Caenorhabditis elegans: one gene and its partner. The gene in region 1 interacts genetically with each later gene. Each region holds a gene or a part of one and is shown in the gene's direction. Other genes may lie near its edges.

What was found. Genes that interact genetically often act in the same process or in processes that back each other up.
Region 2: of col-184 (region 1) and efl-1, changing one enhances a phenotype caused by changing the other (phenotypic enhancement), as found in Caenorhabditis elegans (one large-scale study listed by BioGRID).

Annotation. Positions count from the first base shown.
Region 1 is NC_003284.9:13,467,727-13,470,946, forward strand, and holds col-184 (Nematode cuticle collagen N-terminal domain-containing protein), read left to right. Parts: upstream 1-1,728; coding exon 1,729-1,878; intron 1,879-1,924; coding exon 1,925-2,650; 3' UTR 2,651-2,683; downstream 2,684-3,220. Other genes in the region: col-183 (Nematode cuticle collagen N-terminal domain-containing protein), read right to left, coding at 1-10.
Region 2 is NC_003283.11:16,959,637-16,967,602, reverse strand, and holds the start of efl-1 (E2F/DP family winged-helix DNA-binding domain-containing protein), read left to right. Parts: upstream 1-1,927; 5' UTR 1,928-1,929; coding exon 1,930-2,077; intron 2,078-2,123; coding exon 2,124-2,254; intron 2,255-2,301; coding exon 2,302-2,411; intron 2,412-3,069; coding exon 3,070-3,220; intron 3,221-4,008; coding exon 4,009-4,152; intron 4,153-7,205; coding exon 7,206-7,440; intron 7,441-7,966. Other genes in the region: fbxa-90 (F-box domain-containing protein), read right to left, coding at 1-571, 619-689.

The DNA of each region.
Region 1 (3,220 bases):
GAGACTCCATGGTTGACTGGTTGCTGTTGCTGAATGCAGACCAGTGATGTGATGATATGGCTCCAGTGACTCGTCTTTTTATACCATTTCCACTTGTTGTTTATTCCGAGAACCAGTTATGAACAACAGGCATCCATCCTCCCTTCTCTTCTGTTCATACAGTGGCGTTGCAAGAGACATTTGGTTCCACATACATTATTGTCATTTTCCTGTGGTTTCTGTAATTGTTACCAATTGGTTAGCGGTTCTGATTCGTGTTTGTGTTATCTTAGTCATGTTTCGTATAATTTTACATGGAAGTTCAAGTGGAATCAGTATTTTCAGTATAAACTAGTTATTTTAAGAAGAATGAAAATTGAATTGTTAAAATCAATAAAGATTCGCAAACAAAGGTTATTCATTTTTTTATAAATTGAAACTAGTAAGAAATTTAGTGGATCTATGCAAATTTGATGGGTTTTGCCAAACTCTCTTCATTCAGAACACAGTTATTAAAGCATTTTTTAAACAAACTCCCGTATGCAAATACAAATTTTCCTATGTAATTTCAGGAAAAACTTTCCAAAAACACCTTAAAATTTTGGTTATGATTATTTTTTTACCCCTTGACATAAACAATTCCAAAACATTCTCAATTCTGATTTTACAATATGACTTCCGAAGGTTTTAGAATTTTTAATAAGACCTTTCACAATCAAGGCAACTTCAAAAGAATTTAGGTTTGAGTTTAATACTGCAATTTTACAAAATATATTTTTATGGATTCATTTTCAAATTTTAGAGTACAAAAACGGATATAAAATTTAAACGACTTTGAAAACGTACAATTAACTTTTTTTGGGATTTCAGATCATATGTAAATGTTTTTTTTATTAGTTGACCATTTTTCACATTTTCTTGATTTACTGAACGCTTTTTAAACAACTACTTCATTTTGTTCATCACATTTTGTTTTCTTCAAAGTTCTACCTTCTAGCTCCAAATCTTCCGGTAGTTGTCAAAAAGTTTCGACGATAAGGGTTCCTTGTCGTAATATTTGCAATTCACATGACAAATTTTCAACGAAAATTTGAATGCTCCAGGCTTGTGGAAGCTGAGACTGTTAAAACATTACTTTTTGGGACAAACAAGGGTCATTGTTTTTTTTTGCGCAATCATTACGTTGTCTGTAGCAATATCTCTAAAATGTGTTGTATCTGAAATATCTATACTTTAAAAAAATTGCTGCTGCAAAGTTAGTACAAAGCTAGTACAAATAACAATTAGTTATTCATGCAACGCTTCTACTAAAGCTACAGCGATTATTCGAAGTATGGCAGTAAGATTTAGTTGAGTAATCAGTCTAACACGTCTTCCCTTCTCTCAATTTCTTATTCGTCTGTTCCGTTTCCAAAGGTTTAAAGAGAAAGTTGTATCTTAATTGCATCGCAACCACGTCAAGAACAGTAACTGCGTTGTCTTCATCAAACTTTTTTATTTTCTTATTGCGCAATTCTGGAAACAAGGAACTGATAACAGAAGAGATAGAGAGTAGACCAGAGAAAGTTACAATCCTTCAAACTTTTTTTCAACAGAATCCAGCCTTTCTCTCTCAAATTGATAAGACCAGTGTGACCAAACCCCTTGGATTTCCTATAAAAGGACAATGATGATACAAGGTTATTCGTCGACCGTTCGGTTAACTCTTCGTTGAAGGTTTGCGATTTTTGTTTAATTGTTTTCTCAATAATGAATTTGTTTCAGATGTCGTACGCGGTTGCAGTCACAAGTGCTGCATCAATTGTTGCCACTGGCATGTTGCTCATTTCCGTTGGAAATATTATCTCGGACTTGAATAATTTGCAATTAGAGATTACCGATGGAATGAATGATTTCAAGGTTTAATCTGAATAGATTGTATATAACCAATGAATATTATTTCCAGATGAAGTCCGATGAGACATGGTCTCGCATCCTCTCCCTTCACGTCAACCCAACTGGCGAGACCGCTGCCCCACCAAACTTCAAGACTCTTTTCGGACGTCACAAGCGTGACAACAGCCAATGCCACTGCGGACTTCAGTCTCAAGGATGCCCAGACGGGCCACCAGGAGCTCGTGGACCACAAGGAGCGCCAGGACTTCCAGGAGCTCCAGGAGTTGATGGAAAGCCAGGAGTCGACGGAAAATCTCTCACATATGTTCACGCCGCAGAGGCTGATTGCATTCCATGCCCAGGAGGAGAGGCTGGACCACCTGGACCAGATGGAGAGCCAGGAGTCCGAGGACCAAATGGACCACCAGGACCAAACGGACATCCAGGACAACCAGGAAGACCAGGACCAGCCGGACCAGCTGGGCCAGAAGGAAAAGACGGACCAGTTGGACCACATGGACCAGCCGGACCAGCCGGACCACGCGGAACTCGCCACTCCGCCGGAGTACCAGGAAAACCAGGAGATGTCGGACCATGCGGACCAGAAGGACCAAAGGGAGCCCCAGGAACTCCAGGAAAGAACGGAGCTCCAGGAGATCGTGGATTTGGTGGACAACCAGGAGTTCCAGGAGAGCCAGGAGAGGATGGTACTCCAGGAGAACCAGGTGCCGATGGTGCTCCAGGAGACGATGCCGGATATTGCGCATGCCCAGGAAGAACCATGTTCGAGGCCTGAAATGGTCAAATCCAATAAACAATTTATCATTCATTTAGTGTTCTTGTTTGGCAAACTGGTTTCAGGGAAAGTGAGGGGGTTGTGTCATCGAAATGAAATGAAAAAATAACATTACAAAGGGAAGATCAGTGTGATCTAACAAAGAGATGATAAGGAACGATTGGAAAGTGTAATGTCTTTTTTCATGGATGGATGATAAGAACGAGCGTTTTAAAACGTTCGAGGAACAGTGAAAGATTGGAACGGGTTTAAAGTTGAGTTGGGTTGGTATGATAAAGTTTTAAATTCCTTTAAACACTTTAAGTAAATCAGATTTTTTTGCGGAAATGAGAAGATTTGCAGAAATATATCGAACGGTGTTTCAAAATCATATTTTTCTAAAAGCAATGCAAATGTTTTTTTTCTGGTGAGAAAGTATATCGTACTGTAAAATAAAACTGTTTTCGTTCGTAAACGGCTAATCAAGCATGCTGAAAAAACAGTTATACGAAATGATTGATATGAAACACAAATAATACATCTCAGTGGCATTTATTTCAAAAGTCGCCACGTAGCAAACTTTGGTTTGTA
Region 2 (7,966 bases), on another chromosome or scaffold:
AATATGCTTAATAGGGATCAGAAACTTGGACCGGTTGTTCAGAATTTTAGCTTTCTTCCATTGCTCGAGTTCCACAACGCCATTTATCGGCTCATAGTACTTTAGGAATTGAGCTTGGAGAGTTATTTCTTCGAGAATTTCAGGTTCGAACTTCTGAAGTATTTCAGAAACTTCACGGGCGGTGAAGTCATCGATAATCACTTTTTTCGCTTTTAACTTGAAGTTTAAGGATTCGAAAAATGACTCAATTGCCTTTAAAATGATTTTTCTTTCATTAAAATTGTTGGTAGCCAGCTGTATCAGAAATTCATCAACTTCAGGGTACTTCACCAAGCTCTTCAAGTCCTCCATCAACATTTCAACGTGGTTCCTTCCAGCATGTACTCGGCCACTGTTCTTATATTCAACTTGGCAGGCTCCATCAACTTGCTCATAGGTAACCCCGCCGTAGTTCTCATCGAGAATTAGTCTTGAAAATTTTTCATGAAAATTTACATGAACCGTCTTCAGATTTGGACCGAGGTTATCGATTATTGCTCGGAAGCTGTAGGACACTTTTCGAGCGATTAGCCTGAATTTTCAATGCTTTTTTTCTTTAAAAAAACAAGGAAAACTCACCTTTCCAAAGCTTCCAGATTATTCAAAATTTGTTCAATAAGTTCGATTGGCAAGTCGGAGAGTGATGACATTTTGAGAAATTTGAAGAAAAAATGAAGTGATTTCAACACAGTTCTCTGTGACTAGTGGCCTAGTTGGACAGCGCAGAGACGCAGGCGCACCAGCTGACTAGAGAGTATGAGAATCAGACACCGAAGGTGTTTCAGAACTGGCCGCCAACTTGAACCTGTAAAATGTAGGCACAGCTTGAACCCTTGGCTTTAAATAAAATGTAGTCTTAGTTTGAAACCATGTGTATTCAGACAGGCTTTTCACTGTCTTACTTCCAGAAATTTCAGGAGTCGCATACGAAATTTACGTAGCAGTCATCGAAATTTTAAACAGAAAGCTAAGACCTGCGGCTAAGCCTGAGACTAATTTTAGGCCAAATTTTTGAGCCTAAGCCTAACTATTAGTTAGACCTTCTTATGTATTTGGCGATGGCAAAACGGTAATATCGAAGATTTTCAATTATTTTTGCCATTTTTCAAACAGTTCATGTGTATTCGTATTAAAACATTGTAGGGGTCGAAACATGCGACATTTCTTTAAATTTCCTCAAAAGCTCGTATTCAAAATTTTGGTAAATTGCCAAAAATTTTTTTTTGAAGTTTTATTATGATATTTGATCTTTTTTACACTATTGGAGTAGTTTTTAACACTTTCCCCACTGACGCTACTCCACCTTTAATAACGTGGTGACGTCACAATCTTTTTGTAGATCAAACCGGCATGGGACAGCCTGACACCACGTGAAAATACCAAAGGAGGCGAAATTTTACAAATTCAATTTTTGTTAAAACTGATTTGAGCCCACAAAAACAAAAAAGTGATGGCTAAAAAAAAGTGATGGTTAATTTCACGACACTACTTGAATAACCCCATTTTATCTGAATTTACGGTTTTGCCGCCAAATACCTAACGGGGCCCAATTTTTTTGGGTTCTAACTTTTTTTGTCTTCAAATTCAAATTTCCCCTTATTATACATTCAAAAAACCACGTACTTCTTTCATTTTTATCTTCTCATTCAAGCGAAACTTTTTCCCGCGGAAATTTGAGTGCAAGCGCGCTCCACTGCACCTTTCTCGTCTGCGTCTCCACCTTTCCCATTGTCTCTAATCCGTGACGAAACCTCATCATTTCTCGCATTTTGGAGGGGAATTCAAATTGATTTCTCTTGGTTTTTCTCGTTTTTTCTTGATTTTTCTCGTTTTTCAGCTCATTTTTAACCAAAAAATCGGATTTTTCAACTAAAATTCCGCATTTCAGCCATGGAAGACTCGTACAACGACATGGAAGACCCCGGCTTCCGCCAATTATCTGACATGGAGCTTCAAAAAGCGCTGGAAATGACCAAACAGAGCTCGATAAAGAACAATTTGATGCTCGGGCTCGACAATGAGCTTGACTTTGATTTTGGTACAATATTTGTCGAATTTTAAGCCGAAAACCCCGAAATTTCCAGATTTCGACGAGGATGAGGACCTGGATCAACCACAAATGGGCACACGAGCCGATAAATCGTTGGGATTGTTGGCGAAACGATTTATTCGAATGATTCAGTACTCACCGTATGGAAGATGCGATTTGAACACTGTATTTTTGAAAAAAATCGTGAATTTCGCAATTTTCGTATTTTTTAGGCCGCCGAGGCGCTCAATGTCCGGCAAAAGCGACGAATCTACGATATTACGAATGTTCTCGAAGGAATTGGTCTTATTGAGAAAAGAAGCAAGAATATGATACAGTGGAAGTAAGAAAGTCGAATTTTCAGCAGGAAAAATGACGTTTTTCAATGAATCGGCGGAAAATCGTATTTTAACAAGAAAAATGACATGTTTAGAAAAAAAATCAATTTTGTGTCAAAATATTGATTTTTCAGCTCAAAAAGCTTAAAATGCAAGAAATTTCGGAAAATTTCAGATTTTTACGTGAAAAATCGCATTTTCAGCCAAAAAATGGCGCTTTCCGGCAAAATGGATGAAAATCACATTTTTTGGAATATAGCTCCTATTTCCTGTAAAAATCGATAAATTCGATTTCTAAAACACTAATTTTTGAGATTTTTCACCGAAACAAATCGAATTTTCATATGAAAATTTCATTTTTGACACAAAATCACTTTTTAAAGTTAAATTTTCAATTCAAAGCTCAATTTTGTGGCAAAATCCTTATTTTTCAGCTTAAAAACATGAAAATTGCTGAAAATTTCAGATTTTTACGTGGAAAATCGGGTTTTCAGCCAGAAAACACAAGAAAAGGTCATTTTTAACACAAAATTACATTTTCAAAGCCAATTTTTCTATAATAGCCTCAATTTCGCTCCAATTTCGGTGAAAATCTCTATTTTCCGGCTCAAAAACCGCTTTTTTGCACATTTTTCCCCGGAAAACTCAATTTTTTGTTTTCAGAGGCGGTGATTTTATGCTAAACGTGAAGGAAGGGAAACGACAATCGGCCACAACAGAAGAAGAAGATCGAATGGAACAATTAAAAGCTGAAATTGAGCAATTAAATAAGGAAGAAGAGCTCATTGAGCAACGTCAAAGATGGCTTCAGCAGGTAGCGAATTTCCAGAAAATTTGATGAAAAATTTGCTGAAAATCGATGAAAATTGAGCCAAATTTACGCAAAAATTGGCTGAAAAATGACCAAAAATTTCAGAAAAATTCAGCCGAAAATTGAGAATTATTTGCTGAAAGTCGCTAAAAATTTGATCAAAATTGAGCAAAAACTGGCTAATTTTGATAGAAAATTGAGCAAAAATCACTGGAAATAAGGCTGGAAATTGGAAAAAATTTAACCAAAAAGTCCTGAAAAAAATAGAAAAATTCAGTCGAAAATTCTGGAAAAATATGGCTGAACATCATTAAAAATTGAGCCGAAATTTAGAAATAATGGGGCTGAAAATCGCTGAAAAAAGCTGAAAATTTGACTTAACTTCCTGAAAAATTAGTCTGAAAATCGTTGAAAACTGCTGAAATTTTGCCAAAATTTCCTCCAATTTTCTGAAAAAAATATGGATGAAATTTCGAGAAAATCAAGATAAAAATGGTGCCAAAATGATGAAAATTTTGTAAAATAAATTCTGGAAATTTCGGCTAAAAATTGCTTGAAATTGGTCCAAAACTGCTGAAATTTGGCAGAAAATTTCTTAAAAATTCAGTCAAAACTTCTGGAAAATTCGCTGAAAAATGGTCAAAAATTCATTAAAATTGCGGACAATTTTTCTGAAAATTTATAGGAAATTTCAGGCAATCTGAGCCAAATTTTCCACAATTTTTTTTTGAAATTTTTGGTCAATTTTTCGACAGTTTTAAGCCAAAACCGCTGAAATTCTCAAATTTCAGAGCCTCCGAAACATGACAGAATCCGTGGAGAACAACAAGCTCAGCTATGTGCTCCGTTCACAGCTCGCCGAGATTCAAGGCTCAGATCTTACGATTGGAATTCAAACGAGAGTCGGCACACAAGTTCGGCTCAGTGATCCGGAGGTAGAGAAGAAAATGACGCGAAAATTGGAATTTTCAATGAAAATTTAATGGAAAAACCTGGAAAATTGTGGAAAATTCATATTTTTCTTGGAAAAAACGGGTACAAAACCCGATTTTAACTGAAAAAAACGCTGATTTTTGCTCAAAATTAATTCTTTTTAAGAATTTTCGATGAGAAAAATGAATTTTTTAATTTAAAATACATAAAAAACTAGAAGACTGTCCAAAAACCGAAATTTCTGTCAAAAAAGTGTAAAAACTTCTCCTCGTGGAGTACACGAGCTGCGTAAATCTACGCAATATTTTTCTGTGTTTTTTGTATGCAAATTTGTAAAAAAAATATCAAAAAAATAAATTTTTGGCTGAAAAACGGTGAAACATAATTTTAAACAATATTTAAATACAAATTATTTGTTCTAAAAATTTTTTAAAAATTCTTAAATTTCCCTGATTTTTAGCAAAAATAACGAAAATTCTTCAAAAAATTTGATTTTCTGCTAAAAAAAGTGTAAAAGCCTCCCCTCGGGGAGTACACGGGCTGCGTAAATCTACACAAATAATTTTTTTCAGCTAAAAATTGATAAAACGAAAAAATTAAATAAAAATGTTAAAAAAAAAGAAGAAACTTTTTCAATTTTTAGAAAAAAAAAAGAAAAAAAAAGCTCCTTTTTCCAAAAAAAAGCAGAATTTTTTTTTGTAAATTTCCCAAAATTTGGCGAGTTTTCATTTTTTTTTTGTTGTAAATTTGACGATTTTCGTAAAACTGTCGTAAAATACAAAAAAATAGACTTTTTTTCGAAATATTTTGTTAAAAATCAGAAAAAAAATTTTTTTTAATTGATTTTAAAATTCACAGAATTTTTTTCGATAAATTTCAGAAAATTCCTGAAAAAACTGAAAAAGATTTTCAAAAAAAAAAACGCAATTTTCGCTCTATTTGGCTCTAAAAAACAAGACAATTAAACAAAAATCAGAATAAAAATTTTAAAAAAATTGTTTATAAAATTTTTGATAAATTTTAGAAAATTTCGGAAAAATCTTCTTTTTTTTCAAAAAAAAAATCGAACATTTTCAATTTTTATTTTCCCCCATTTTTTCCAATGAAATTAAAATTGCAGCAAGTCGATTTTTGATCGAAAAAAAGCATTATTTCTATGTGAAATGCATAAAAACCTATTACGGGAACAATAAATCATGAGAATGCGTACTTGGTGCATTTTATTTGACGCGCGATATCTCTTAGCGAAAACTACATACAGTAAATGCTTAAATATCTATTGTTATTTGAGTTCTTACTGTAGTTTTCGCTAAGAGATATCGCGCGTCAAATAAAATGCACCAAGTACGCATTCTCATGATATATTGTTCCCGTAATAGAAGACTGCCCAAAAACTGAATCTTCTGTCAAAAAAGTGTAAAAGCTTGTCCTCGGGGACTACGAGCTGCGTAAATCTACACAATATTTTCCTGTTTTTTTTCTCAATTTTCGCTTTTTTTTTTGTATGCAAATTTGTAAAAAATATCAACAAAAATTTTTTTTTGGCTGAAGAACGACGAAAAATAATTTTAAACAATTTACAAATCATTTGTTCTAAAAAATTTTTTTTAAATCACACTTGTTTCTTAAATTTCCCTGATTTTTAGCAAAAATAACGAACATTCTTCAAAAAATTTGATTTTCTGCTGAAAAAGTGTAAAAGCCTCTCCTCGGGGAGTACACGAGCTGCGTAAATCTACACAAATAATTTTTTTTTTGGATAAAAAATTGATAAAACGAAAAAATTAAATAAAAACGTAAAAAAAAGAAGAAACATTTTCAATTTTTAGAAAAAAAAAAAAGGAAAAAAATGCTCTTTTTTTCCAAAAAAAAAGCAGAATTTTTTTGTAAATTTCCCAAAATTTGGCGAGTTTTCATTTTTTTTTTGTTGTAAATTTGACGATTTTCGTAAAACTGTCGTAAAATACAAAAAAATAGACTTTTTTTCAAAATATTTTGTTAAAAACACAAAATTTTGTAAAAAATCCGAACAAAAATTATTAAAAAATTCATAGAATTTTTTTTGATAAATTTCAAAAAATTCCTGAAAAAACTGAAAAAGATTTTCAAAAAAAAACGCAATTTTCGCTCTATTTGGCTCTAAAAAACAAGACAAATTAAAAAATATCAGAATAAAAATTTTTAAAAAAATTGTTTATAAAATTTTTGATAAATTTTAGAAAATTCCGGAAAAATCTTCTTTTTTTTCAAAAAAAAATTTTCAATTTTTATTTTCCCCCATTTTTTCCAATGAAATTTTAAAAAAATTGCAGAAAGTCGATTTTTGATCGAAAAAAAGCATTATTTCTATGTGAAATGCATAAAAACCTAGAAAACTGTCCAAAAACCGAAATTTCTGCCAAAAAAACTAAAAACTTCTCTTCGGGGACTACACAAGCTGCGTAAATCTACACAAAAAATTTTTGTGTTTTTTTTTTCTCAGTTTTCGCTTTTTTTGTATGCAAATTTGTAAAAAAGTATTTAAAAAATAAATTTTTGGCTGAAAAACGACGAAAAATAAATTCTAAAAATTTACAAATTATTTGTTCTAAAAGATTTTGAAAAAATTACACTTGTTTCTTAAATTCAGCAAAAGCAGAATTTTTTTGTAAATTTCGCACAATTTGGCGGTTTTTTAATGGAAATTTGACGATTTTCATAAAATTGTCGTAAAATACAAAAAAAATAGTTTTTTTTCAAAATATTTTGTTAAAAATCAGAAAAAAAATTTTTTTTAATTGATTTTAAAATTCACAGAATTTTTTTTCGATAAATTTCAGAAAATTCCTGAAAAAACTGAAAAAGATTTTCAAAAAAAAAAACGCAATTTTCGCTCTATTTGGCTCTAAAAAACAAGACAATTAAAAAAAAATCAGAATAAAAATTTTAAAAAAATTGTTTATAAAATTTTTGATAAATTTTAGAAAATTCCGGAAAAAATTTTTTTTTTCAACAAAAAATCGAAAATTTTCAATTTTTATTTTTTCCCCATTTTTTCCAATAAAAAAAATTGCAGCAAGTCGAGATACACGGTGGACCATCTTGGTGTTACCTGAAAGATCCCTCTGGACCCCTCCGAGCCGCCATCGTTTCCAACCATGAGCTACATGATTTTGTACAGAGAGAACGAGCAAAACGGCCTGGTGAAGAGCACGTTGACGCTGATGCTCCAGATGAAATGATGGATGATTCAAGATATCGGAATCGGCGGACGATCAATGATGATGAAATGTTTGGTTTTGAGCAGAAAGGTGCTGCTGAATTGCTGGAAATTTTGCTTATTTTTTAAAGCAGAATTTTGAGAAAAAATGGATTTTTTTCACTGAAAGTAGCTAAAAAATAGCTTAAAAATGAAGAATTTTGAAAAAAAAAATTGGAAAAATCATCATTTTTTCCAAGAAAACACCAAAAAAACTGGACTTTTATGGACGTTTTTTCGAAGCTAAAAAATCCAAAAAATTTACTTTTTCTGATAAAAAACATTTTCCTTTTGTTTTCTGCACCGTTTTCTAGAGTTTTTCGAATCGAAAAATAATTCTCAGATTTTTTCACATGAAAATTTGAAATTTAAGCGAAAAAAACATCAAAACTGTTTTTTAACAAAAAAAATTGAAAAAAAAAACCGGAAAACCTAGAAATCCGCCAAAAAATTTGAGAAAATTTTCACAAAAAAAAGCATAAACTGAATTACATAAAATTCTTTTAAAAATTACAGAAAAACTGGGAAAATTTGGGAAAATTACCTCTTCTTTTTAATTTTATTTTTCGCATTTTATG